4 linked regions of the Mus musculus genome follow. The protein of the gene in region 4 binds, or shares a complex with, the protein of the main gene of each other region. Links are inferred from orthologs where the notes say so. Each region holds a gene or a part of one and is shown on either strand. Other genes may lie near its edges.

The links.
Region 1: the proteins of Hras (region 4) and Plce1 are in contact, whole or in part, in a crystal structure (PDB 2C5L), measured with the Homo sapiens proteins. The link is inferred for Mus musculus from reciprocal best matches to the Homo sapiens genes HRAS and PLCE1. Residues at the interface, in NP_001123914.1 of Homo sapiens: Ile24, Gln25, His27, Val29, Glu31, Asp33, Ile36, Glu37, Asp38, Ser39, Tyr40, Arg41, Glu63, Tyr64; in NP_057425.3 of Homo sapiens: Phe2138, Pro2146, Glu2147, Gln2148, Pro2149, Arg2150, Thr2151, Val2152, Ile2153, Lys2154, Lys2171, Tyr2174, Ser2175.
Region 2: the proteins of Hras (region 4) and Grb14 are in contact, whole or in part, in a crystal structure (PDB 4K81), measured with the Homo sapiens proteins. The link is inferred for Mus musculus from reciprocal best matches to the Homo sapiens genes HRAS and GRB14. Residues at the interface, in NP_001123914.1 of Homo sapiens: Glu31, Asp33, Pro34, Ile36, Glu37, Asp38, Ser39, Tyr40, Arg41, Tyr64, Met67; in NP_004481.2 of Homo sapiens: Val109, Lys111, Asp116, Glu117, Thr118, Ser119, Arg120, Ala121, Leu122, Asp123, Lys140, His142.
Region 3: the proteins of Hras (region 4) and Rasgrp4 are in contact, whole or in part, in a crystal structure (PDB 6AXG), measured with the Homo sapiens proteins. The link is inferred for Mus musculus from reciprocal best matches to the Homo sapiens genes HRAS and RASGRP4. Residues at the interface, in NP_001123914.1 of Homo sapiens: Glu3, Gly12, Gly13, Gly15, Ser17, Ala18, Ile21, Asp33, Pro34, Thr35, Ile36, Glu37, Tyr40, Arg41, Asp54, Leu56, Asp57, Ala59, Gly60, Gln61, Glu63, Tyr64, Ser65, Ala66, Met67, Arg68, Asp69, Gln70, Arg73, Thr74; in NP_733749.1 of Homo sapiens: Tyr228, Gly232, Val234, Val244, Asn248, Ser251, Asn288, Met291, Ala292, Gly295, Gly296, Cys298, His299, Ser300, Leu327, Ala328, Ser329, His330, Asn331, Asn332, Tyr333, Ala334, Arg337, Leu351, Gly352, Val353, Leu355, Lys356, Val359, Ser360.

The regions. Positions count from the first base shown.
Region 1 is NC_000085.6:38,521,272-38,528,430, reverse strand, and holds the start of Plce1 (1-phosphatidylinositol 4,5-bisphosphate phosphodiesterase epsilon-1), read right to left. Parts: upstream 4,235-7,159; 5' UTR 4,173-4,234; coding exon 2,979-4,172; intron 1-2,978. UniProt on the Homo sapiens protein: The production of the second messenger molecules diacylglycerol (DAG) and inositol 1,4,5-trisphosphate (IP3) is mediated by activated phosphatidylinositol-specific phospholipase C enzymes.
Region 2 is NC_000068.7:64,927,439-64,934,030, forward strand, and holds part of Grb14 (growth factor receptor-bound protein 14), read right to left. Parts: intron 5,920-6,592; coding exon 5,782-5,919; intron 2,859-5,781; coding exon 2,748-2,858; intron 2,558-2,747; coding exon 2,462-2,557; intron 1-2,461. UniProt on the Homo sapiens protein: Adapter protein which modulates coupling of cell surface receptor kinases with specific signaling pathways. Binds to, and suppresses signals from, the activated insulin receptor (INSR). Potent inhibitor of insulin-stimulated MAPK3 phosphorylation.
Region 3 is NC_000073.6:29,132,350-29,139,449, forward strand, and holds the start of Rasgrp4 (RAS guanyl-releasing protein 4), read left to right. Parts: upstream 1-2,583; 5' UTR 2,584-2,723; coding exon 2,724-2,746; exon of another isoform or gene 2,747-5,156; coding exon of another isoform or gene 5,157-5,191; coding exon 5,192-5,376; intron 5,377-6,461; coding exon 6,462-6,567; intron 6,568-6,693; coding exon 6,694-6,756; intron 6,757-7,100.
Region 4 is NC_000073.6:141,190,021-141,197,299, reverse strand, and holds the start of Hras (GTPase HRas), read left to right. Parts: upstream 1-3,295; 5' UTR 3,296-3,460; intron 3,461-3,491; exon of another isoform or gene 3,492-3,797; intron 3,798-4,318; 5' UTR 4,319-4,359; coding exon 4,360-4,470; intron 4,471-4,679; coding exon 4,680-4,858; intron 4,859-4,959; exon of another isoform or gene 4,960-5,009; coding exon 5,010-5,169; intron 5,170-5,263; coding exon of another isoform or gene 5,264-5,345; intron 5,346-5,832; coding exon 5,833-5,952; 3' UTR 5,953-7,279. Other genes in the region: Lrrc56 (leucine-rich repeat-containing protein 56), read right to left, coding at 131-318, 1,288-1,297. UniProt on the Homo sapiens protein: Involved in the activation of Ras protein signal transduction. Ras proteins bind GDP/GTP and possess intrinsic GTPase activity.

The sequences.
Region 1 (7,159 bases), on a different chromosome or scaffold from region 4:
CTCAAAACTTCAGGTATTCAAGTCGTTTATATAAAATTGGTTAATATGTGCATGCTACACCCCTGCATACACTTTTAACCACCGCTAGGTTACTAACATAATGTAAATGCAACTAACATGATGTAAATGCTTTGTAAATAGTTACTGTGCTGTGCTATGTTGCGTGGGGAATAATGACCAGAAAACACAGCTGTATATGCTAATAAGAGGTGTGTGTGCTTGTGTGTGTTACTTGGAACTAAACCTAAGGCCTCTAACATTCTAGGCAAACTCCACACCACTAAGCTATATCCTCAGGCTTTTCTTGTATTTATTTTGACATGGGGTCTCACAATGTGGCCCTGACCAAGTAATAGTTCTGCCTCAGGCTCCTAAGTAATTGAGATTATAGATCTATGGCGTCAGGCCTGTTTAAATATTTGTGGGTAGGAGGGAGGCAGTAGTTACTGGAATTTAAACTCCGGGCTGTATGTGTAATAGGCAAGCTCTCTATCACCACACTACAGTACTAGAAATTTTGTTTTCCAAATACTTTCAATTTGTATCACATAGACGTCAATGAACGCAAAGACTGCAGATATGGAGTCATCTGAACATTAGAATTTATACTGCTATAAATTTCCCTGAGAGGCCACCAAAGAGAAGGACCAGGTGAGAATGAGTCCACAACCAAGTAAGAAGCTCAAGGTCGGGAGGACAGAAGCACTCTCTGCTTTCAGCACTGTGCCGAGGATAGCATCTCACAGCAGAGTGGCCTACAATGGCACCTTTATGCCTGGTTCCCTTGAAAGGTAATTAGGACCTGTCAATCACTTATGGATTCCAAGCCATGATTTAAATGTGGATCATCTCTAGGGTCTGTTTCCAACCATGTCATAGTCCTTGTTTTCTATGCATTTGGAACTATGTTTGCATTATATAGACAAAAGAGCACAGGGTTCTTACAGCCTGGCTGAGCAGCCAGGCAGAATACACATGAAGAAATTGAAAAACAGAATGGGAGTGTATGACTGGGATACCGCTGGGGTACCACATCCTCAGATGAAAGGCATAATTCACAAGACCCAAGGCAAGTGAATATATTTCAGCTGTGCTAATTTTGCTAAGCATTTCACCAGACTCTAAAGGACAAATGTGAAGAGGAGGCTATACTTTAGGGAACACCCATGACTTTCAGACAGTGTGGCAAAAAAGAAAAAAAGAAAAAAGAAAAAAAAAGAAAGAAAGAAAAAGAGCCAGCCCATGCCCACCTATACCATAAGTGCCAATAAAAATGCTCACAGCGTCCAGGAGGGCAGCTGACACAAAGGGAAGAGACATTCCTGAGCCCCACTCTAGCTGAGCTGTGGTGACCGCCCCTAGCCTCAAGGGACAAAGCAGGGAGGAGACAGTTTGGTTTCTTTCAACTGTAAATTAACCAGTCCAGGGCCTGACCAGTGAAGGCTTTAGAAGGTGCTGCCCCACAGCCTCAGGGTTGGGGGAGCCAGAAGGAAGCATAGTCAATCTGATAATCAATCTAAAACTCTCAGCCAACACTAACTTCCTCGGAAGCTTCCTTTAGGTTAATAAAGAAGTGTGAAAAACTGAAATGTGAGCGTTCTAGAAACAACTTCCCAGAGAGAATCGCTGAAGGAAGCAGGAATGTTTAGCAAGGATAGAAGATAGGTGATAGGTGATAGGGCTGGTGGTGCAATCCGGTAATCCCAGCACTTGTTAGAAACAGAAAATCCGGAGTTCAAAGCCATCATTGGCTATGTAGTAAATTAAGGACCAGCCTGGACTACATGAGACTCTTCACAAGAAAGAAAAGAAGAAAAAGAAACAACGAAAAGGCGAAGTATATAGTGATGTCTTCAGCAGTGCAGATCAGTCCAGAGAAGGTCACCTGGGTGTGTAACGGTTAAAGAGAGAAAACCAACCATGTAAAACATTCAGAGGACCCGGAAACTTGGATGGGAATTAAAAAAAAAAGACTATTCTCATTCATCTTAGGTAGAAATTTAGCATTTCTTTAATTGTGAACTTTTACAACAAAGTTAGATAGAAGCAGAAGTAACTGATTGTGTCACCAATAAAAATAACACAGATTTTTCACATCATGTCATGGTCATTCATGGTGGATATCTTACAATATTATGCCTATTTAGGGCGAATGGTTGCCTCTATTTGACTAGATTAGAGGAATTTCCTAAATCAAGAGGCTATCACATTCCTAGGTAGCAATGAGCAGTATGGTAAGAAAGATGCACTTAAATTACCATCTCACAGCTTCAAAATCATCTTGTGTCTCATGAATGCAAATCAACATAATTTTCTCCTTTACTGATGTTTGCCATTGCATTTGGTGCATTTAAAGTGTTATTTTACATCCGTAGACTTCATTGAAGAGGTACGTACACAGCACACTCACCCCCAAAAATAAATAAATAAGTCTAAGGGAGAAGAGAGGAAAGACGGACTTAAGCTCCTTCAGGACAGTAAAACTAAAGGCCACAGTGGACCACAAAACACAAAAAAGACTTGGGAATGCCTCGCCAAAGCTAATAGACAAAGCCATTTTTCTGTCATCAGAAAATCTCTAATTTCTCCACTCCCTACATAGGCCTCTGTGTATTGCATGGCCTATATTGCTGCAGAGTCAACTCAGACTTGAGACCTATGAATTGTAATATCTAAATCCCAATAATTACAAATGACTCCTGTAAGAATCATATTTTGACAGATCTTGCTTTATCTTGTCCATTAGTTACAGCAATATAAGTAATGAAAAATCATGTTTACTGAACTAATGGAAACAGGTCCATCTGTAATCTCAAAATTCAGGAGGATCGCAAGTTCAAGGACAAGCTAGGCCATGCACATAGCAAGTTCCAGGCCTATATCCGTATGACCCTCTATCCAAAACTCCTAAAGGAGGGTGAAGGAAAGGAAGAAAAATAAGACCAAAAAAGGTGATGGGAAGAAACCCAAACTCTTACCAGGCACCACTGGGCTTCAGACAGACGTTGGCTCCCACTTTGCCTTATGTCCATTGCTGACAGAGTTCCCATTACATTCCCACAAGGCCATAGGAGACCAGCTTTCTTCTGATCAACGTAATTCCAAGCAGCTGGCCCAATACAGCCAGAAGGCAGAGTTCTCATGATGGCTCTGGTCCCAGTATACACAGACTTCTTAACTTCCCTGTCATTTTTACAAAACCTTCGGACTAACAACGTGGACCGCTCCTTTTTGCTTTTAAAAAAATCGTCTACGTCTTCACAATTGTCAGAGAAATCCTCCAGAGGGTTCAGAAAAGTCTTGGCAGCAGGACCGTGAGCAAAGCCGTCCTCGCAAAAGCCACCACCTGAGCAGACCTCATCGGCCTTTGAGCAGGAGCTTTCGAAGCACAGGTATTCATCGCGCAGCGAGGTACAGTGCTCACACTGGACTTGCCCATTCTTACTTCCACAGGTTCTTGTCAACTCCACCAGTTTGCAAGCATACGCCATGCAATTTTTATTTTGCTGCCCCCCAGGAAGAGTAACACAATTTGCACAGTCATCCAAAATCAGGTTTTCTGACAGGGTATGAAAAGCATCCGACATTGTCCTGTCAGCTTCATAATGGAAGTGAAATACCGCCGTGTTGCGGTCAGAGTGAGGTCCGCTGGACTCCATGATCCTAGGCTGACTTCCCGCAGGGCTCACGTCCATGGGAGAGTCCTCCATCTCCAGTTGAATTCCAGGGAGCACCTTCCTTTCCAGGGGAGAAGGAATTCCAGGCTGCAAACACGGGTCTTCTGTGACAGAGTCACGGGCTTCACAAAGCTGGCTCCGGGGAAACTGGTGCTGGTGGCTTTGCACTAAACTGTTGCCGTTCATCGCGTGGTTTTCCGGGGAGTCCGGTGCGTTTTCCTCCCAGCCCTCTTCGTTGGAATTCTCATCGCAGACTAGTTCCCCCCTCGCTATTGAGAAGACCTTGGACAAATCACTTCTAGACGACTCTTCCTTATGTTTGTTCCACTGTGAGATGGTAGGAGGGATGAGCGCACCCTGCCTGCCAGCACGTGCCCGAGGAATCCCCGCATCTGAGACCTTTACACTCCTCTCTTCTGCCACCGACTGGGCAGAAGCCACTTTCCTTTGAGTCACAGGGATGAGGACAGAAGCGGCCATTTCTTCCGACGTCATCTTGACCACTGTCGTTCATTCAGCTACTCTTCTGTGTTCCCTTCCCTGGCGATCATGTCCAGACAACAGATAATCTCAGATAATTCCAGTCTTTGTGCGAAGCAAGCTTGACAGTTCCTTTCATTCAGGTATATTAAGCGCCAAAGAAAACTTTCCAGTTGTAATTTCCTACAAGAACAGTTTGTTTTACACCAGTATTTCAAAACAGCAGGTCCGTTTTCTTCTTTTCTCTGTTGCCCGAAGCTAATTTTTAGAAGGATTTGGTTCGGGATCACATTCTGCGACTTGTGGCTTATTGTTAATGTGCAGGGATTTAAAAATCCAGTTTGAGTGTTTTCTGTGCCCTGTAAGAAAAGAGGTAATGTCAAACATTATGGCATTAAATCGGTTTTCAAAATCGAGTTGATAATTTTAAGTTAATGAAAACTATAGGTCAATTCTGAGGAGAGAGTTTTGCAATCAAAAGTTAGTCTGAATATTTTAAGCATGTATCATTTTGGCTTGACAATACAGAACTTCTGCTTCCAGCAAAAACGGAGTACAAAAATCAGATTTATCCTAGTGGATTAAATAAAACCCAAGCAAGAAAAAAAGAAAAAATACTAGTTTTTACACGATAAAGAGTAAAAACAAAATGTTGATATCTGAAGCAAAATAAAAATAAAGTGAGAACAGTGTAAATAAATACCTGAGCTCACTGCTTAGAGAGTTTTCAGGCCCAAATAGAACCCAATAGTGTGTGCATGTGTCTGTGTGTGTGTGTGTGTATGTATGTATGTATGTATGTATGTATGTATGTATGTGTGTGTATGTATGTGTGTGTGTGTGTGTGTGTGTGTGTGTGTGTGTGTGTGTATGTAAAAGGGAAAAAGCTAGAACTTCAGAATGGCCAAAGGCACTAGGGACATAAGACAGGAGTTGCAAAGGTAAGACAATATATTCTCATCTGAAACAATTCAAGCAAGGAAAGAATAGAGTAAGAAAAAAAACTATTAAGCAGAATTCAGTAGCAAAGAAATGTCTTCAACAAATGAAGATGAAGTAAGACCTTTTTCAGACATGCAGAGCCAAAATAATTCTAGCAGGGTTGAACTACAGAAAGTAATAAAGGAAGACCTTTGTGCAGAAGAAAAATTCTACCTATAAAGGAATAGAAGGCCTAAATGTGTTGAATATGTGTGGTTTTTTTTTCATTTTTTAAATCGCTTAGCAAGATAATTCATCATTTAAAGCAAAAATGGTGACTGTGTGTTGTAGGATTTCTTATAAACATTGAAGTGAATTGTCTGGGCGGAACAAAGGTCAAGAGCAGGGACCTGGAACAGTAATCCGACAAGGTTATTTCTATAGGAATCATTATGTGGTTGTTTAAAGGCAGACTAAAGGTGTACACTCTGATCACTTAGAAGAAAAGCACACAATTAAAATCATTAATAATTACAAAACCAAAAGGTAAACAAAGAAGATATGAGACCCAAAAAAAAAAAAAAAAGGAAAGAAATTAACAGTGGATTTAAATATTCCAAAATGCATCTCTAGTCAACATTTCTGTCACAAAGTACACACTTAAAGAAAATATCTCTTTGGTTTCATTTTAGTAAGAAATTGTTCAGTAGAATATAAGTTGACATAAAAGACTTTGATTTATGAAGCTGTAGTATTTTAAATAGCTTAGCTAATTTAAAGGCTTCGTCCTTTTTCTTTAACTACATTGAACCTTTTCCTAGTGCTGCATATTATACTGTAGAGTAGACAGCCAGCACCTGCATGCAACCCTAACAGAGTCAAACAAATTCCCATGTGATGAGGGAGGAAACATGAGGAATTCTGGGAGTAAGTCATAGGGCTCTGGCTCAGCTGCTGCTGAGCCTCCTCCCCCCACCCCCTCACCCCCCCACTCCCCTACCCTCCCACCCCCTCACCCCCACAATGGCATGCGAGTGCATCATCTTAAGAAAGGCTCCTCTGGCCTCAGTCAAGGCTTCCAGTAATTACAGTGGCAGCCAGCATTTGCAACCTCATAAGAAACGCTCGGCCATCAGCAGTGGAGGCACACGCCTTTAATCCCAGGACTAGGGAGGCAGAGGCAGGCAGATCTCTGTGGGTTTGAGGCTAGCCTGGTCTACACAGTGAATTCTAGGACAGTCAGGGCTACATGAATAAACCCTGTCTTGAAAAATCAAAAGTGAGAGAAAGAGAGGAGAAAGGGAGGAGAAAGAGATAGACCCTGAATCATATAAGGCCTCTCCCAAATTCCTACCCAGTTATATGGAATACTATATGCGCGTTGTCTTTCACCATAAATTTTGTGGTATATTGCTGTATAGCAACAGATAATACAAGTAAATTCTGCTCTCTATACTTGGGAAACTGGACATCAAGGCCTAGAAAAGCTAAATCAAGGAATAGTGAAGGATTCAGATCTAAGAAGCCTGACTCCAGAAGTTTTCCTTAATCGCTGTGCTGTTTTCTCTAACATCCAGTCTGAGACCTCATGGTTTCAGGTTCTGTTGTTTATAGACACACACGGCTGCTGGGAGTAGCTTATCTTTTATTTGAGTTCGTTTCAGAAGGCTGGGGATTGCAGACAGGCCACTGAAGCAATGATCTTTGTTTTGCTTCCAGCTGTAGTCAGGAATGGGAAGCATCACGGGGGAACTGACTCCCTGGCCTTGGCTCCGTCTCAGGATAGTCCTTTTTTTTTTCCCCAACAAATGTTTACTGAGTGAAAATTAAATGAGGCAAGCATCTTGCCCTTGATTTCTTTATGAGCTAATAAATGACCAGTCAAGGTATGTTACAAACAGGGCTGAGGACACCAAAACACCTAAACCAGATGGTGGGCATGAGGCAAGATTAGTTTTCACAGTGGGCCTTCTGGCGATGGTAACTGGGCTGCATCACTTAAGACCGGGAGGAGTCAGCAAAGTGATGACGTGGAGTACACCTTCAGAGAAGAGCATTGTGAAGGGAAATACTGCACAAAA
Region 2 (6,592 bases), on a different chromosome or scaffold from region 4:
CACCCAGGATACAGTGCAATACAGAAGCCATGATTCTCTTTTCTAAGCCTCAGAGTTTCTATACTTCGTTAAATAACTAGAGTATTTTCCCAAGGGAAAAAAAAAAAGAACTTCTCCTGTGCAAGCATAGGTCGGTGTGTATGTGTGATTTTGTATGTGGATGAGCGCACATGTGTGGGCATACATGTGTTTGGAAGCCAAGGGTTCACACCTTGAGCCTTCCTCAATTAGTTTCCACTTTGTTTTAAGATGTGTCTCTCTCATTGAGCCGCAAACCTGTAGACTTGCTGGGCCAGCCAGCCACCACATTCCAGGGACTCTTGTGCCTCTGAGTTGGCAGTGATAGAATTGCAAGCACACCACCAGTCAAAATATAGAAACAACCAAAATGGTCTATCAGTGGACAAACAAACACCAGTGGAGAGGGGTTCATATATCATTCCAGTCACAGGAGAGGTGAACTCATAAAGGCAGCTCAAATCAGTGGCTACCAAGGCCTGGGAGAAACTACATATTGAGAACACTATCTTCTTTTGGACCTCAATATAAGTTATGGTTGCCCAACATACTGACTGTGTGAAACATTAATTGTTCATATGAAGATTAACTTGATGAACTCAATAAAAAAAAAAACCTTGAAAACTACAAAATAAAGCTTCTCTCTACATCTAGCATGGCATGATCCTGTTCTCGCTACACTGTTGTCTTCTTTTCTATCTCACTCCCATGCAGCATGCCAGGAAAGGGTTAACACATTAAAGATAGTAAGAACAGCATAACAAAGACAGGAAGGAACACGGGTCCCAGAACATAGGCCCAGTGTAAACTAAGATGGAAGCCAGTGAGCTTCCTTGGCCTCTCCCTTTTCTGCCACAGCTGAAAGAAAATGAGGGACACTAAACATTCCAAACGAGACCCAGTTTTTATTAATTTTTATTTCTGAATGCTGTAGAAAGCTGGTTTTAGTATACACTTAGTTATCTAAACCTTTCTCTGCTAATATACTAAATGATATGATACATGATAATTAGTATAACATGTGGTATGTGATATGATATAATTAATATAATATACATTATTTATACATTACCAAATCATACCAGTTATCAAGTATGAATTATGAAGAATGTCTCAGAATCTGCTGAAACTTCTATTTTATAAGGAAGATTTAAGAACAGTAATAATCCACATATTTTTGAACTTCAGTAGCAATTGAGAACTGACTGTATAAACAGGCCCATTCTGAGGGTTGTGCCTTTTTCAATGAACACATTTTTTTTTTGTAATTTCCACAACGATTACTAACAAAGCAGTATTTTCAGAAGGAAATGGTTGATCATTTTTATAATTAGAAAATTAAAGCTGTAACAAATTTACTGGCATAAATAAATACTTTAAAAATAAACGTGCTTTTGAAAATTATTGTTTGCATTTTTATCTATTTACTTATTTATTTATTGTGTATTTGCACATGCATGAGTTCTCATATGCATATGGAGGTCAAAAGCAACCTTTTGGGTCTCTGGTGTCAAACTCAGGTCATTATGTTTGGAACAAGTTCCTTTACTTTTGAGTCATTTTAATGTCTCCTAAATATGTGTTTTCAACACAATTTGGAAGAAACCAGTCTGTGTCCTCCCTATTCTTATCTACCTTTGGAACATTCTAACTCTCCTCAAAAGTTTCATCAACAAATTATACTAACAAAATTTTAATTTCAACATGGTATACAAGATATGCATCAAAACATATTCAAAATTAAATGTATGTACCCATTTTCCGCTGTACTCATTACACTACAAAGCACTTAATAAAGCAGTCGCTGCTGGAGCGGGGGAGGGTGTCAGTGCTGTTTAAGAGTGTCGACCATGCTCCAGGGTAAAGCTACACATCTAAGAACACTCACAGAGCAGAAAGTGGACTTTATGGAGGGGTTGGGGGAATACACAGCCATGGATTAGGAGAAACGCAGGGTGGAACCAGGAAGAGTTGGGGGAGGAATGACGAATATGATCAGATGATCAAAAGATGTAGGAAATTCTCAAAGAACACACACACACACACACACAATAGAATGTAAAATAATTCCAATTAGCAATATCTAAGGGAAAAAAAATTAAATACAACTCCCTATGGGTTTGGGGCAATTTTACAAACACAGACTAAGTTGTATACAGGAGTCCTGTCACTCAGCTACACTGGCTATATATGTGAGACCAACAATAAAAAGTCATTTCTAGAAACAGAATACCTGCTTCACACAGAAAAGACTCGTAGATTAGGATAGTCACTCTATTCTGTATGTTCATCTCTTGGACTCAAGAGAGCAGTGGTTATTTTTCTTTTTGCCTTAGAGCCACACAGGTGATGGGAGGATCTTCACATTGGAAAGTAGATGTGTCTTTAAACACTTACAGATGTCAGAGCATCTCGCAAGCACCCACCCGTCCCAAGAGATTACCTTCAGCAGTCGGATGGCGGTCACCCAGCACGTCCTGCTCTGCTCTTCTTCTGCACAGAGCATTTTCAGGTCCCGGGGCCCTCCTGCTTTGTTAGGCTAGAAGGCCACAGCATATTATTTATTGTTAATGCATATCTCGAAGGTAACACCTGTTGAAATAAAAGCCACTAAAATTCTCCTATACATACGAGAACTCTAGCTCTTTTCAAAAGAAATCGAAAGAAACTCAAGATTACCTAAGAGGCTGAGGCTTGCTTTACTCATCTATCAAAACATTAAGCAGTACCTTTAAGCAGAATCCATAGGGAGTTGGCGCTCCGTGTTTTTTTTTTCCTGCCAGTGACATATAAACGTGACTAGTGCTGAATTCACTGAAAAGCTGCAAATGCCGTGGTTCCTTAAAGAAAAAAAAATATGTGAACATTGACTTGGATGCACAGTTCTACAATATCTTTTGCATTTCTCATATTGCACAATTTATACCTCGGCCAAAATAACATGATCTCAAGCAAAATTCTACACCAGTGTCACACACACACACACACACACACACACACACACACACACAAAGCCAAAAGTAAACAGGGTTGCCATTTTCGTAAATAACCAAGAGCTGCATACAATTTCATTTAAATTGACGAGGGGTAGTTTGTTTATAATTTTACTATTTTAAGTTTCCGGTTCTCATTAACCATCGTGTCAAACTGAAAGAGGAAAACAGAAGCCTGCCAGGCTCGTGAAAGCGTTTCTGTCATCTCTGTGTCGAGTGATCGCTTCTGCCACAGGAGGAAATCTGGCTTCTTGAGAAGATGGGAAAAAGAGAGAAAGAAAATCCTGCTTCTTTCAGATACACCCATCCCTCGCATGTGTCTGTCTGTGCTGACAGCTGACTTCGTGGCCATCTTCTTCCACAAAAGGAGAGAAGTCTACACAGAAGAGTTCAGGGAAATTACCTGGGATGGAATGTGTCTGATTGTCAGGGCAAAGGGAAATCATGAGCAGCTATTTCTTCTCAGGAAAACCCGAGAGATTTGGAGCTGGCCATAGGAAATTCCTGGGTCATAGTACTCCGTGCTAGGTTAATAGCTTGGAGAAGTGCTTAATTCTGAGGTTGACTATATAATCAAAACTGGCCCAAATGCATTTGTTCTCCAAAACCTTGCGACTAGCAGTGTGGGCACTGACCCACAGAACCAGTCTCACCTGGAGCTTGTTAGAAAGGTAAAATCTCATTGCCCGCTCCAGGCCCATTAAATCAATATCTGCATTTTAACCAGATCCCAGGTGGTCTCCTATACGCAGTGTTTAGCAGCAGTGCTCTCTCTCTCTCTCTCTCTCTCTCTCTCTCTCTCTCTCTCACACACACACACACACACACACACACACACACACACTCACACTCATGCATATATGCACACACAATTTACACATGGAAATAATTCTAAAGTAACCTACTAAGGAAAAATTGGGGACATAATAACACTGTGATTTTTTTTTTAAGACCTTAATATATCTGCTACCTGATAATCTTGGTTTTGTTTCTTATTTTTCCTATGAAGAGGTCTTGGTTGAATACTTTCACTTCCAGTGAAGTAAATGTTGTGTGGGAGTGACTAATGGCTACTATAAGGCTAGGAGGTATGACTGTGAATTACATGTGAGTGAAAGCCTTAAGTACTGTCTTTCCTTCTCCTCTCTTACATAAACATCTATACATTTACTAATAGATTCTGACAACTAAATCAATATAGCTCTTAGTATGTATTTTTATTATCAAATCAGTTTCTGTCAGTGAATAATATATTATAGTTTAAAAAGTCACAACAGTAAGAAAGCATTTCCATGTTCCAATTCCTCATTTTGTTTTTCTTAAACAAATGATTTTCTTTTTGTAAAAGATTTATTTATTGTATTTATGTGAGTATACTGTAGCTGTTTTTAGACATACCAGAAGAGGGCATCAAATCCCATTATAGATGGCTGTGAGCCACCATGTGGTTGCTGGGAATTGAACTCAGGACCTTTAGAAGAACAGTCAATGCTCTTAACCGCTGAGCCGTCTCTCCACTTCCTCAAACGTTTTTTGTTTGTTTGTTTGTTTTGTTTTGTTTTGTTTTGTTTTGTTTTAAATCAAGTCTATTCTGGCCAGGCATAGTGGCACATGCCTTTAATCCCAGGACTTTGAGTCAGAGTCAGGAAGATCTCAGTGAATTTGAGGCTAGCCTGGAGAGAGTTCCCAGATATCTAGGACTACATAGAGAGAACCTGTCTCAAAAACCCAATCTAAGTAAGTGAATAAATATAAAAAAAATATTCTGCTTTACTTTCCAAAGACGTCAAGAAGTACCTGCTTAGGAACAATGGCACACAGTGACATCTTTTGAGTTGTAACAGCTTACTGGTAAATGATAATAAAATGTGTTCCAATTTGGACAGGGTTGTTCACAATGCTTAATGTTCTGTGTATGTGTGTGTGTGTGTGTGTGTGTGTGTGTGTGTGTGTGTGTGTGAGTGTATACCATGGCATGCTTGTGAAGTTCAAAGAAAGAGTAGGAGTCAGCTCTTCCCTTCCAGCGTGTGAATTCAAACAATCTTGAACTCAGGTTGTTAGACTTAGCCAGTGAGTGCTGAGCCATTTCACCTGCCTGATATGTGGATTAGAAGAATAGTATTTTATCTATTGACAGCCACCATTTAAAATACCATTACTCCAGGTTTTAAGATAGACTTTCCTGCCTCTGGAGTCCAGTTATATAAAACAGTTTTGTTTTGTTTTGTTTAAGGTTCAGGGGCTGCAGAGATGCAGAGATGCTTCAGTGGTTGAGAAAAGGTCTTACTGCTCTTGTAGAGGACCAGGGTTTAGTTCTGAGCACCCATTCAGTTGCCTAAAACTCCAAGTCCAGGAGACCCAACACTTCTGACCTCTACAGGGTCTTGCATGCATGTTATTCATAGGCATACACTCATGCACACAACATAACCTAAACATAGAGTGAAACTAATATTTTTTAAAAGAAGGAGGAAAAATCACATTAGGTTTCAAATCTGAAGCCTTTGATGAGAAAGAAGCAAGAAACCCGGTTTGGAGTGGGAGGAGTGGATTCCTTTGATATATGAGTAAGAGCATCCAGAGTCCTAAATGCTATAGACAGACTCAACGTAAAGCAAATCCGAAGACGTTTAAAACCTATTATAGCAGATGTCTAGGGTTCAAACAACTCTCGACATCAGTTAGGAGAGTAATCACCATAACAAAATCAAACCTGATGTCATAGAGCATAATAGATAGTTCATAACACACCCCAAATACTGTGGCTTACCTTGGATGTGCCTTTAGTAGAAAAATATAAGCCAGATCTTCTGAGAAAAAAGTAAGCTTTTTTCCAAGACTTCTTTCCCTGTTCCTTTGCATGTAAGAAGCCATGGATTTCAGGATACGTGCTGGAGCTTAAAAACACCTGGAAGACACATGAGATGTGATCCTAAACTTTGGGAACAATGATGCCACTAGTCTTTTACCCATCAGACACAACCATGAAAACCCACATAGTAGCAATGGCATTTGCACTGGACCAAGATTACAATGCATGCTTGACAGAGCTCAGTCAAAAAAACCTGGCACAAGTTCCGAATTAAGTTTGTGCAGAAAATATACATTCAATATAATCAGTAAAATGGGTAAAAACCAAAATTACACCTATTTGAATTTATACTTGAAAGTGGACACTATCTAGAGACTTAACTCCAGACATGTTTCATCTTCTTCTATAGATTCTCATACAAGTATTTGGCCTTAAAGTACATTATGTAATGCAGTGTACTGTAAGACTGCCATCCTGACTTCAATCATTAGACAGCTGAATCAAGCTCACCTCCCTAGTGAGGGTTAAGCATGCTCTCTCTCTCTCTCTCTCTCTCTCTCTCTTTGTCTCCTGTGATTTGGGCTTTAGGTGGGCATAGCAGACTGGGCTTTAAAGGGAAATGTTTATAGCATCTCCTATCCCACATGCTTCTGCAGTGTGGTCTTGGCATTGAGTCTTGAAAAGGTGGAGTCAGTTTTCCATGCCCTGGAATCCTCATAAGTCAGTCACCCTTAGAATTTGGTTGGAGAAACAAGAAATACCACCAGTT
Region 3 (7,100 bases), about 110 Mb from region 4:
CTAATCTACACAGTAAGTTCCAGAATAGCCAGGGTTACACAGAAGAACCCTGTCTCAGAAGAAAAAGAAAGAAGAAAGAAAGAGAGAAGGAAGGAAGGAAGGAAAGAAAGAGAGAGAGAGAAAGGAAGAAAGAGAAAGAAAGAAAGAAAGAAAGAAAGAAAGAAAGAAAGAAAGAAAGAAAGACAGACAGACAGACAGACAGGCAGACAGGCAGACAGAGAGAGAGAGAGAGAGAGAGAAAGAGAGAGAAAGAAGGAAAGAAAGAAAGAAGGAAAGAAAGAAAGAAAGAAAGAAAGAAAGAGAGAGAGAGAAAGAGAGAGAGAAAGAGAGAGAGAGAAAGGAAGAAAGAGAAAGAAAGGAAGAAAGACAGACAGGCAGGCAGGCAGGCAGACAGAGAGAGAGAGAGAGAGAGAGAGAAAGAAGGAAAGAAAGAAAGAAGGAAAGAAAGAGTATTCTGGAGTCAACTGACATTTTTGGTTTTGGATTGTGGGTAGGGTTAGATGGGGGTGGGTAGCTCCAGTCTAGATCAGGTTAGCCTTGAACCCATAGAGATCTATCTGCCTTAGTTGCCTGACCCTACCCAAGGCAGGGATTGGAAGCAGCACCAGCCTCAGTTAATGTTCTGTTCCTGACGTGAGCTCCGCTGGGGTTTTCTCATTCAGTGACGATCTGTCAACTGAAACACCAACGTGTGCTCTTTTTGGGTACTTCAATTAAAGATATGTAAAGCGGGCTGGTGAGATGGCTCAGTGGTTAAGAGCACCGACTGCTCTTCTGAAGGTCCTGAGTTCAAATCCCAGCAACCACATGGTGGCTCATAACCATCCATAATGAGATCTGACGCCCTCTTCTGGTGCATTTGAAGACAACTACAGTGTACTTATTTATAATCATAAATAAATCTTTAAAAAAACATTATTAAAAAATATGTAAAGTATGACAGACTTAGATAAAAAAATGGGCACAAAATTATACAGAGAGAGAGAGAACGTTTGAGACAAAACCAAGCAATGTAAAGTACCATTCATAGCAGTCTAAGAGGAGTAATGGAAAGAGAAGGGGCTTTGAAACAGTCATTCTGGCTGGGCATGGTGGTGCCCACCTTAAATCCTAGCACTCAGAAGACTGAGGCAGAAGGATCTCTGAGTTCGAGGCCACCCTGGCCTACAAAGCTAGTTCCAGAAACTCTGTCTCCAAAAACTGAACATCAACATTTTTTCTGCTTTGAAACAGTACAAAGGAGCTGTGAAGATGGCTTACGGTGCCGGGCATGGTGGCACACGCCTTTAATCCCAGCACTCAGGAGACAGAGGCAGGCGGATTTCTGAGTTCGAGGCCAGCCTGGTCTACAAAGTGAGTTCCAGGACAGCCAAGGCTATACAGAGAAACCCTGTCTTGAAAAACAAACAAACAAACAAACAAAGATGGCTTACGGCTTACCTCTATCCGTAACATTTTTTATTATAAAAAGATAACCTTGGGAGTAGAGGGGGAAGCTTGGTTAGTAGGATGCTTGCCCGGAACATACCAAGCCCTAACTTCAGTCCTCATCACTGTGTGAACCAGGCACAATTCCAGCACTCAGGTGATGGAGGTAGGTTATCCTCAGCTACTCAGCTACAAGAAGAATATGAGGTTAGTCTGATCTACATTAAAAATTAACACACACACACACACACACACACACACACACACACACACACACACACCACTACAACAAAAAGCAGTGCAGTGCAGAGTCAATATCAAGATGAAAACCAAGAGGCTGCCCTGCTCTTGCAGAAGACCTGAGTTTAGTTCCCAGTACCTGTGCTCTGTGTGTGACTCAGGACTACCTGGAACCCCCGCTCCAGGGGGATCTGATGTTTCTAGCCTCCCCAAGAGCACCAAACACACCCACATAAAGACCCACACATACACATGATTCCAAGTAAAAATAAAATACAGCAAAAGGGGAATATGCCTTTAGAAAATAATAAGGAAATAAAACTCCCCAAACCTTAGAGAAGTATATGGTGCACAGTAGGTGCTACATAAAGGATTTTACAATGAGGGTAATAAAGTGAAAATGTTTTCCAGGTATAAACGGTGTCCTTCAAACCAGCCCTGCTGTTCACACCTGTAATCCCAGCATATGGGAGGATGAATCCTGCTTCGTTCTCATTCGGGAGGTTTGCTGCTGCTGTAAGGCCAGCCTGAGCTGTGAGCTTCAGGAGAATCTAACTTGAGAGAAGGAAGGGGGCGGGGTGGGGGGGAGAGGGAGGGAAAGAGGGGAGAGATAGAAAAGCAAAGAGAAATGCAGACTTTTCTTTTGAGCCTGTTTTTACACACTTTTTAAAACTGTGTGTGTGTGTGTGTGTGTGTGTGTGTGTGTGTGTGTGTGTGTGTGTGTGTGTGTGCGTGTGTGCGTGCGTGACAGAGACGGGGGAGAAAGGAAGATGGAGCGATAGATAGCGAACCCGCTGAGGGGTAGGCAGCACCGGAAACCTCAGCAGGCAGGGATCCCCCGTGAGGGGGAGGGGAGCCTTTGGTCTCTCCCCAGCCTCTTCCTTCCCCCTGGCCTAGGGGTGGGTGGGGAGGGGCAGTTCCTCTTTCCTTCCTAAACTCGGTGGACGCTCCAGCTCCCCGGAGCCTGACAATCTGGTTAGGGAAGGAACCTGATCACACTCCTGTCAGGAGCCCCCACCCCACCCCCCCGACCCTCCCCATCCCCTCCAAGAAACATGAACCGGAAAGACATCAAAAGGTAAGAGGACCCTTCCCAAGGAGACCTGGGAGAGCCAAAGTCCTGGCGCCGCTGGCTGTGGGGAGTGGGAGAGGGGTCTTGGGACTCCTCCAAGACCCGCTCTAGTGGAGTCCAAGAATGAGATGCTTCAGGGAGCTGAGCACCTGAGCCTGCGTTACTGCTGCTGTCTCTCCCTGGAGTTTGAGCTGACCTATGTCTCTCCATCCTAGCTCCCTCAGCTGGCTGCCCCTGTCTTCCCCGGGGTCTTCTCTGTTCCCTATTATGGTCACTGCCCCCCACCCTCACCCCGGACTGGAAACTCCAGGCTCCTGCAGGACCGGGTCCCAGGAGAGAGGTTCATGACGTAGGTCTAGGCAGCTTCCCTGACTCTTAAACCACTCCTGGCTGCTCCAGACACTCCCGGGGGCTGCCGGTCTGCAGGTAAGGGGGCAGCAGGATCTCAAACGGATTTCTGTCTCCTGGCATTGCTTGCCCACCTGACCCCTTAAGGAGGGATGGTGCTGGGTCCCCAACCTGGATAGCTCGCTTCCCTGGCATGACCTGATGAGCAAAGGGATTCAGTATAGTGAGAGGATCCTTGCTATCTCATCCTCTGCCCGAGTGGCCTTAGGTAAGTTACTCCAGTACTCTTTCTCAGTTCCCGCTTCTGTCAGAGTTACCTTGGCTACCACTCCAGAGGGTCTTTAATTGCACAGCCACTTAGAGGGCTTGAAAAGCACAGGCCGTTGGACTCACCCGGAAAGTTTTAGATTCTGTGAGACTGTGGGTGGGCTAGCCTCAGATGCTGTGCTTAGGTGGAACGCACAGGAAGATAATCTTTTGGTTCTTGGTGTGGGCACCTAAACAAACAAACAAAAAAAAAAAAAACAAGAAACAAACAAAAAACACAAGACCCTGATCTTTTACAGAGTGCTCAGCCTGCGTTCTAGTCGATGCTGTGCAACAGGTGTGCACTTTATTTAACATTTAACAGCCCCTTTGATGCTGCTGCAGGAGACAAGGCAGATTTTATTGTAGGATGTCCCTGTTTGTGATTTCACACCCATGCCATGCGGAAAGGCAGGCTAACTCCTTCTGTCTTGTTTTGTTTTGTTTGTTTTTGTTTTTGAGGTGGTGTTTTGTTTTTGTCTTTGTGTTGAGAGTTTTGCTCTGAAGCCCAAGCTGGCCTTAAACGTGCAATCCCCCTGCCTCCGTTTCCCAGGCAGCTAGGATTACAAGAGAGCATCACAACGTGCAGCTTTCTTTTCCTATCTGGAGGTCAGCTGCCCCATCAGCCGGGTCCCTTTGAGGATCCAGATGTTCTAACATCTGGGGGAAATCCAAGGATGAGTCTACCTTTTCCTATGAAGAAAGCAAGGGCCAGAAGGACATTGGGTCACTTATTAAAAGGCACACAGCCATCAGAAATTTCTGGAACCCAGTTCTGGATGAGTCTGAAGACTAGCCTCGAATCCTTTCCTCTGGCCCTCCCTTCTTCCCACCACCCCTTTTTCCTCACCTGGGGCAGGCACCGAGGGAGGCATATGACAGGAAAGGTTATTTTTAAACTTTCCTTGAAGCTGCTGTGGCCCCAGGGATCCTGCCTAGCTCTCAGGAGCCTGTGAGAAGGCTCTGGTCTACTTCCTCTCCTGGCTCAAAAAATGTGGGGAGCAGGCTAGAGGCTAAGACTCTTGGGTGTTCGAAAACTAGCTTGGATGAGGGGTATTCTGCCTTGCAGGAATGAATGGGGTGGTGGGGTAGATTCCAAGAGGCCTGACCACATAGGTCATCTCCATTACTGGGACACAGAAGTATCACTTCTATGGAATTGGATTGGGGGGGGAACATTCTGGCTTTGGAAGAAACCTGAAGACCAACTCGTGAGACACCTTGGGAAGTCGTCAGGGGTTGGACCTCGGGTCCTAGGATAAACCCTGGGGGTCTACTTACTGCAAAATTATGATGCTTTGGGACTATATTGTCAAGAGGAAATTTTTGTGGCAATAACGGAGGATAACAGGGGAGAGGCAAAATATGATGTGTTTTCCTTTGTATATGAAACCTAGATTTAAGTGTGTGCATACACACATATGTACATACATACACACATATGTACATACATACACATGTGACAGGAAGGCAGAAGGACATTTGGGAGAGAGAAGAAACCAACGAGATGAGAGAGGGGGTAGATGGATACTAGTACGATGATATATATTGTGTGTGAAAAGTGTCCCATCATTTTGTACGCTAACTGTAAAAACAATAATTAAAAACAAAACGAGGAACGAGTCAGTCGCCCTTGGCCCTGGATCTCTGATCTAAAATATTTTGGGATTTGTCAGCCATGAGTCCTTCATGGGTATCTCTTGAGATCTGATGTGCAAGAACTTTGGTCCGTGGAGTGTACTTAGAGAAAGGGGCTCCCGTGATGCTTCGCGGTGGGCTTTCTGTGTGTACCTGCAGGAAGTCTCATCAGGAATGCTCTGGGAAGGCAGGAGGGCGGGGTCGGTCACGTCAGGCCCGCCGCCACAAGACGTGCCCCACCCCCCGGGAAATCAGCAAGGTCATGGCGTCCATGAATCTGGGAGTGCTGAGTGAGAGCAGCTGCAGCGAAGATGAGCTATTGGAGGAATGTATCCGCTGCTTTGGTGAGTAGCTGGGTCAGCCTCTCCTATCTCAGTCTCGCTGGTTGGGATAGAAAATGGCTGAGTAGGAGGAATTTTCGTCCTTGTGTTAATGATGGGAGAGAGCTAGGTGGCTTACCTTTGAAGGCTGAGGCAGGAGGATAAAGTTCCAGACTTACCTGGGCGATGTGGTGCAGGCCTTCAATTCCAGCATTCAGGAGGCAGAGGCAGGCATTTCTCTGAATCTGAGACCAGGCTGATCTAAATAGCGAGTTTCAAGTCAGCAGGACTACATAGTAATTCGTGTCTTAAAAAATAAATTAAGAAGCTGGGCGTGACGCCGGGCGTGGTGGCGCACGCCTTTAATCCCAGCACTCGGGAGGCAGAGGCAGGTGGATTTCTGAGTTCGAGGCCAGCCTGGTCTACAAAGTGAGTGCCAGGACAGCCAGGGCTACACAGAGAAACCCTGTCTCGAAAAAACCAAAAAAAAAAAAAAAAAGAAGCCGGGCGTGGTGGCGCACGACTTTAATCCCAGCACTAAGAAGGCAGAGGCAGGCGGATTTCTGAGTTCAAGGCCAGCCTCGTCTACAAAGTGAGTTCCGGGACAGTCAGGGCTACACTCGAAAAACCAATAAATAAATAATAGAAAAATAAGAGAGGGACTGGAAAGACAGCTAAGTGATTAAATCACATATCTCTCTTCTAGAGGACCTGAGTTTGGCTTCTAGTACCTACCTCAGAAGGTTCATATCCACCAGTAACCCCAGCTCCAGGGAACCTGATACATTGGCCTGAGACGGCTCCTGCACCCGTTTGAGCAAACACACACACAACACACTTTAAAATAATGAAATTAAATCTTAAAAAGATCAAAGCACTTTAAGCATCTCAACTGTGATTGAAGGCAGGGAGCCAGATTCATGCCATCCCATGCACCCCCCAGCTAAGGAAACGGAGGCATGAGGAAATCATGTTGCTTACCCAAGTTCCTGCAGGGCATTAAAGGTAGAACAAACATGTATGCCATCCCGCCAGCCTGCCCACTCAGTTCTCGAAGCCAGGGTCTATTGTTCAGGGCCCAGGCTGAGAGCCTGTCTTTCCTCCTCCAGACTCGGCTGGCAGCCTGCGCCGAGGGGACCACATTCTCAAGATGGTGCTCACGATGCACAGCTGGGTGCTGCCATCCTCAGAGCTCGCTGCCCGTCTGCTGACTTCATATCCTGCCAGAACCGGGCTCTCCATCTAGAGGGATGGAGGCAGACCTGAAAACACCTGGGAGATGGGAACAGGGGGAGTGGGCGAATGGGAGTGCTGGTAAACAGCCTTGACTAGAACTCTCAAGTATCAGAAGGCTGCCAAAGATGCCCAAGAGCTAAGACAGCTACAGATCTGTTACTTGGTCAGGTAGGTTTGATCCAAGAGACTCAGTAACATGAAACACCTCTCTAAGACCCCACCCCCACCCCAGCCTGATCGCTACCCCAACCCACACACGCTCACTTGGCCCCATTTTTTAAAATCCCATGTAAAGAATGTGTGTGATAGCGAGTGCCTGTAATCCTGGCAAAAGGATCTCTTCTTCAAGTTCAAAGCTAGCCTGGACTGTAGAGTAGGCTTCGACTAAAAAACAAAACAAAACATTACCCAAAATCCCATGCTAAGATGCCATTGGCTGGGACTGGACAGATGGCTCAGAAGGGTATTTGCTGCTCTTTCAGAGGACCTGATTTCAGTTCCTAGCACCCATA
Region 4 (7,279 bases):
TACTGGCAGGGACTCTAAGGGTAGAAAGGCAGGGAGAACTAGTGGAGGGAAAGCTAGATATAGGCAGAAAGGGTACCAAGATGTCACTTCATGCAGACCCATGGCAGAGCCTCAGGCCCCAATCACTTACCAGTCGAGCAGGGGATAGGCGCTCCTCCACCCACCGCTCCCTATGGATATCCCCATGGCTGCCCAGTCTCTTGTTTTGTGGGTGGGGGTTGTTTAGGCCCTGCCAGCTCAGCTCCCGTACCCGGATACTAGCTGTGCCTGGTCGAGACCCCTGGGATCCATCCCAGGCTGGGTCCATCCAAGTCCAACCTGTTAAGAGAAGCAGAGGGCCAAGTCTCCTTTACAAGATTCTAGTTCACAACAATGGCCCACAAAGCCATGACATTAACTCTGATCTTCCATCAGCCTCCCATTTCCCAGCCTGATTGGACCTGCTCTGAGGGGCCCCAGGCAATGTCAGTGGTCTAGATAACTGGATAGCACACATACCCCGCCCTAGCTTCTGTTCAGTTTTTTTTTTTTTTCCAATTTGGCTGATACCGTCCCTTTGCTTCTCTATTTTTAAAAAGAGATGTATGTATCCATTTTACAATTTGTGTGTGTGTGTGTGTGTGTGTGTGTGTATGTGGAGGCCAGAGAACAACTTTGGGTGCCATTCCTGGGGTGCCATCTTCTTCTTTTGAGATAAGGTTTCTCACTGGCCTGGGACTCACCAAGTAAGCTAAGCTTTGTCTCCACAGTGCTGGGATTATAAGCTCACACTACCATGCCTGGCATTTTGTATGATAATTTTGGGGATCAAGCTCAGGTCTTCATGTAGACAAAGCAATCAATTTGCTGTCTGAGCTATCTCCTTGGCCCCTGGTTCTATATTTGTTTCCCACACTGTCCACACAATGAGCACCGGCTCCAAGCTCCAAGCTTTGCTGTCTGGGGGCATCACAAAGGCTGTGAGTTGAGGCTGGAAAGCTAGCTCAGTGGTTTAGAGCACTTGCTCCTTTTACAGAGGACCTATGTTTGATTCCTAGCATCCATGATGGGTGGCTCCACATACACACACACACACACACACACACACAGACACACACACACACACGCTTATAAGATAAAGATTTTTTTAAAAGGCTGTGAGGCTAGGGATACTGTACAAGATGCCTGTAGTGACCAGCAGCAAGTGGCTACTGACAGTTCCCTGAGCTGCCCCTGACAATGGTTGTGGATCTGCCTTCATTAATGGTTTCATGAGTCTAAGTTTAGGATCAAGATAGCAGGCATTACCTCCAACCATCCACACAGTCTTCTGACTAAGTACCTGAAGGTAGCCGGCTCCTGCTGTAGGTCAAACATCCGGGCAAGGGGGCCACATGTGTCTACATGTAACACCTGTAAAAGAGAATTAGATTAGCTTCCTGGTTAGATCACTGTACTCTGTGGTACCTGAGCTGGCCAAGGTCACAGTATCCAGAAACAAGCAGGTACAAGAATGGGGGAGATGTTAGGTGGAGGCCTGGCCCTGAACTCCCTGTAACCATTCTAATGGAGGATAAAGCTTCTACAATGAGGATTCAGCCAGGGTCCCTCTTGGTCACCCAATGCAAATAAAGACATGATCCAAGTCCTACTTCTACTCCCAGAGGGGAGCCTGGGAATGCTCTTGTCAATCATCTGTGGGCCCGCCTCTCCTGCAGGCACTCCTTCCCATACTTTTTTTTCAGGTGCCTCTACACCTCTGGTAGGAAGTGCATAAACTGTTTCTCCTTAAAGATACAGAGGTCTGTGTTTGGCCCTAGATCTTATACTCAAGAGACAATGGCTAAGGTAAGAACTCTGTTCAGAACATTAAGTATATCCTTTCTTCTTAGTCCTCCTCCGTGGCCTCCATGCAGGTTTGGCCGACCCCTAACTCCTGTACTTCCTGCCGTTCCCAGATACATTTCTCTAGTTAGAGTGATCCCCTTCCACTGCACTTCATGACTTATTGCTTACTCTGTCCTGTATGTCTTGTCCCACAGACGTGGGTCGCCCAGGATCCCCCTAGCACAAAGGACATGGAGAGGAGGTGCTAGGCTCTCACCTGAGGGGTGGGCCAGAGTGCCCAAGACTTGGGGCGCAGCACTAGGCCCCTCCACCGCGGCGGTCGCTCTCTCAGGTGAGGGCTTTTTTTTTTAATTATTATTTTTACCACCGCGATGGGGTTGCAGGCCTGGCGCCATGGCAACGGGGGCGGGGCTCATTTGAATACCCAAATATTCGTGAGCCGCGGGCATCCGGGGCTTCGGTAAGATGAGCCCCGCCCCCTAGCAACGGTTGCCGGGACACGCGGCAGATCCGGTGGAAATGCTCCCTAGAGTAAGAGACAAGCCGGACGGCTGAACGCAGTGAAGGCACTCACGGTGGTTCAGAGAGCCGTCCGTGAGAGGCTTCTGGCCAGCTCTCGGTTATCTGCCTGCTAGATGAATAGAACAAGCCGAGCTTGCACCCCGGGCGGCGACCGGGGTGAGCGTGCAACCCCAGGCCTGCACGACCTGAGTAAAAGCCTGAGTTTTTCTGAGGACGTGCTTATTCGTTTCTTTGAAATTTCAAAAAGTGTTGAAAACATGTCATTTGCGTCTGACACAGATGTACCCTACTTGCTTGAGTGGGTGGAACACTTCATTTCGCCCCAATACCAACTTTTCTGACTTTCGGGGTCGTTCTTCAAATGGACGCAGTATGAGCTTCTGCAGTGTTGGGACCTCGAGTTTGAGAGCGGTAGGGGGGTCTTCTCCAAAACACGAAGAGCGCGGTGTGATGGGCCGACGCTGCCCCAGGATGGAGCCTTTGCTCCACCTCGACCTACGAGAACAGGCAGCTAGGGGTTCCGGCGAACTCTGTCTTCCTCTGTTATTCCGCGTCCGCGGTGCTGACTGTCCCCGACACCAATACCCGGTCGGGATGACCTTTCCACTCGTGGGCCTTTGGGCCTTTGGTGAGGCTGCAGGGTGGAGGCTCTGTAGTAGGTCCTCAACGCAACCCGAGCGTGCACCAGTTTCTCTCCGGAGAAATCCCGGGCTCGTAAGCACGGTCTCGGTCTGTCTCTTCTGCACCTAGGCACTAGACATCACTGTTGAGTGCAGGACCCAAGTTCCGGCACTGCCTTCCCCGCGGCTCCAGGAAGCCCCGCCCAGCTTCGGCTTCTGACGGATGGGTTGCTCAGCCAACCACAACAGGTCGCGGTGCGGAGGAGTTCGACCAATCACGGGCCGCCTCGAGTTGACGGACGGGCGTGGGGCGGAGCGGGGCGGGGCGAGCGCGGGCCCGGCCAAGTCCCCGCCGTCCGCTCCCGGCGCCCGCAGCCCGAGCCGCACCCGCCGCGGACGGAGCTCATGCGCGGGCCCAGCCGGCGCCCGTCCGCGCCCCCGCCCTGCCCCGGCCCCGGCCCCGGCCCCGGGGGCAGTCGCGCCAGCAAGCGGTGAGTGCGGGCACGGGGTGGGGCGCGGGGCGCAGGTGATCGGTGCTTCCTTGCTCCTCTCGGCCCGGCAGCGTGCCTAGCGTCCGGCTGCCCGCCTCTGCGGCCGGACTCGCTCTGCCTGTGGCCGTCCTCCCAGCGAGGCGCCGCCCGGGCCTCCGGAGACTCTGCGCCCCGCGGCCATCACGCTCGGGCCTCGGGGCCACAAGGACACCCGCGTTGGGCCCCAACCAGGGCCTTCTGCTCCCAGCCATCCCTCGCGTTCCTGTAGTCACCTGCTTCCCACACCCTCAGCCGTTTTTCCCCCCCTCTGTGAAAGCTCCCTGGCCCCTTGTGGAAGGTTTGTCTTAGTGGAGGGCAGGGTCCTTCTCCAGCCACCCTCCCCCCGCTGCCGGGACCGCGCCTGGCATGCAGTAGGCGCTCAGTAAATAGTTGTAGGTTGCACCCACATGCCGGCGGGCCAGAGCCGGTTGTAGGCTGGCATTGGCCTGCCTGGGCACGCCGAGGCCGCCGTGGCAGGACCTGTTTTTTGGGGGGTGGCCTCAGCCCTCAGGCGCCTCCAGTTGAGGGTTTCTGCCTACCTAGCGACTTCTAATTTGGGTGCGTGGTTGGGAGAAGCTCTCAGCTGTCAGCCCTGCCTTGGGGGCCTCTCCCTGCTTCCTCACACAGCCATTAAGTGCTGTTTGAGGAGGTTGGGGGGTGGGGGTGGGGTCCTCCCTTTTCAAGCTGAAGGTGCCACAGGTGATCAACTGGGCCACTGGCAGGCCTGCCTGCTCAATGCTGGAGAGGGCCCTTGGGTCAGGCATCTATTAGCCGTCTCAAGTGGCAAGGGCCTTGGCTAAGTGTGCTTCTCATTGGCAGGTGGGGCAGGAGCTCCTGGATTGGCAGCCGCTGTAGAAGCTATGACAGAATACAAGCTTGTGGTGGTGGGCGCTGGAGGCGTGGGAAAGAGTGCCCTGACCATCCAGCTGATCCAGAACCACTTTGTGGACGAGTATGATCCCACTATAGAGGTGAGCTCTGCCTACCTGCCAGAGGTGGGCTGTGGCAGTGGTCATGGGTAAATGACCAAACAGCCCAGGTCTTGTAGGTGTTATGGGGTATGATCCATCAGGGTATGAGAGGTGCAAGGGTGTAGGCTGGTTCTGTGGATTCTCTGGTCTGAGGAGAGGTGAGACCCCACCCCCACCCCCCACCCCCACTAAGCCGTGTTGTTTTGCAGGACTCCTACCGGAAACAGGTGGTCATTGATGGGGAGACATGTCTACTGGACATCTTAGACACAGCAGGTCAAGAAGAGTATAGTGCCATGCGGGACCAGTACATGCGCACAGGGGAGGGCTTCCTCTGTGTATTTGCCATCAACAACACCAAGTCCTTCGAGGACATCCATCAGTACAGGTGAGCCACCTATGGCTAGCCCGTGAGCCCGTGGCACACGTGAGGAAGGTTCCGTGTGCACACTGAGGCTTTATGTCTTTTTTTGAATGTCCTGGACACAGTCATGCCTGCAGCCTGCTAGCTGGCTCATATCCACCCCATCCCCCTCCAGGGAGCAGATCAAGCGGGTGAAAGATTCAGATGATGTGCCAATGGTGCTGGTGGGCAACAAGTGTGACCTGGCTGCTCGCACTGTTGAGTCTCGGCAGGCCCAGGACCTTGCTCGCAGCTATGGCATCCCCTACATTGAAACATCAGCCAAGACCCGGCAGGTGAGCCTGTTTCCCTCTCCACAGCTAGTCAAGGATTTACCGCACCCCACCCCAGCCAGGGAGCAGAGCTCATTGCCGCTCTCCCTCAACACAGGGCAGCCGCTCTGGCTCCAGCTCCGGGACCCTCTGGGATCCCCCCTCCCCCGGGACCCATGTGACCCAGCGGCCCTCAAGCTGTAAGTCTCCCAGACCGCAGGGCTGTGAGGGAGGCAAGGGCCAGGGTCTGGGCTTATGCCCTGCAGTTCTGAGTTCACATAGCTCTAGGGCAGGATGGGGTCCCTGGAGAGAGCTGCCCTGAGCCAGGCCGGAGCGGCGACCCAGGGGCCTTAGTTCTTCTTGTCCCCAGTGTCCTGTGGATACTGGCTAGTTTTAAGCCCTTCAGTGTTGTTAGGCTGTTCAACTTGAGACGTACTGGGGGTCTGGGAGAGTCCTGAGTTAAGTGGCTCTGACTTTGAGTGATACTCAGGAGTGAACCCTATTTCAGGAGAGTGGCCTGTGCCTTTTGGATGGCCAGGGCCCAGCTCCCTATTTGTGTTGGTTTTGCAGCTGAGGAAGGGAGCCTCCAGCGTTGGGGTGTGACCTGATCTAGGCAGGGAGTTTCTTACCCAGACAGCACCCCTTTTCTCCCCAGAGTCCTCTCTGATCTAGTCCCTCTGTCCCCAGGGCGTGGAGGATGCCTTCTATACACTAGTCCGTGAGATTCGGCAGCATAAATTGCGGAAACTGAACCCACCCGATGAGAGTGGTCCTGGCTGCATGAGCTGCAAATGTGTGCTGTCCTGACACCAGGTGAGGCAGGGACCAGCGAGACGTCTGGGGCAGTGACCTCAGCTAGCCAGATGAACTTCATATCCACTCTGATGTCCTTGCTCCCCCAATTCTGCCAATCCCCCCCGCCTGCAGTCAGTCATGTCCTTTGTGCCCGTCCCGGCACAGGCTCAGGACATGGAGGTGCCGGATGCAGGGAGGAGGTGCCGACGGAAGGAAGGAAAGAGGCGGGAAGGAAGGAAACGGTGCTGGAGCCAGGCCAGTCCAGGGATGGTGGACAGATGTGACCAAGACCTTCGCATGGACAATTTGAACAGACTGTCATGAACTGTCCCTGTTGCCACTGGCACCCAAGTCCTCCACCCCTCTCAGTTCCCTCCGGGCGCCTGCCTGTGAGGGCACACGTTGCATCACAGTAAATTATTTGATGGTCTTGACTTGTCTCTGGCTGGAAGTAGGAGGTGCACTGCCTGTGGCCTCACAGAAGATGCTGGGCACCTGGGGTCCATCATCTGCCTTGCTCCTGTGCTAGAAGAGGCTGGGGAGGCTGGCCTGGGACCTCGGACTATACAGCCCTTCCCTTCTGCCTGTCCCAACTGTCTTGTGTTTGCTGCAGAAAGTTATAGGCAACACAAGGATAGTCAGGTGATATGACCTATTGTCCTTTAACTAATGGGAGGAGGAGGGCTCTGAGAGTAAGAGGGTATCCCTTGTCTCCAGCAGGAAACACATTTCCTGCATTCTGGGATCCATGAAATACAGCCTCAAGAGTGACAGAGTGTAAGATTTGCCCTGACCCAACATCCTGCAGCCCTCTGACCTGGGATGGAGATTCTAGGACTATGGAAATAGGGCCCTGATGTTATCTGTGTAGCCTCGGGTCCCACTGGTGCCTAGGGCCTGGCATCACAACTCCCTGAGAGGGTAGAAAGTGCCTCACTGGTTGCTCCCTCTTCTCTGAGGTGTACAGATGTTCTTCTCCAAGTCACCTGTATGGCCTTGAGAGGCACGTGCAGGTCAGATGGCTGCTCACTGCGTGCTTCCTTCTGGCTCTAGTCATGGCTACAGGAGGGTCCATCTGCTTATCCTGCTCCTCTTCCTGGCCACTGGGGCCCATGGTGGGTGCCCTTTATACTTTCCAGACTCGAGTGGAATTGGGTGAAGTCCCTCTGTTTAGGGCACTTGAAATGCAAGGAGCCTCCAATAGACATGATGTAGAGCCTGCTGCTGAGTGGCTGGGCAGTGCGACACCACAGTTGCTCTCTTCCACAGCAGCCAAATGTTCAGCTTCCCTTGTCTGTGTGTATCTGGGGCTCCTGAGGTATCATCTGGAGCGTCAGTG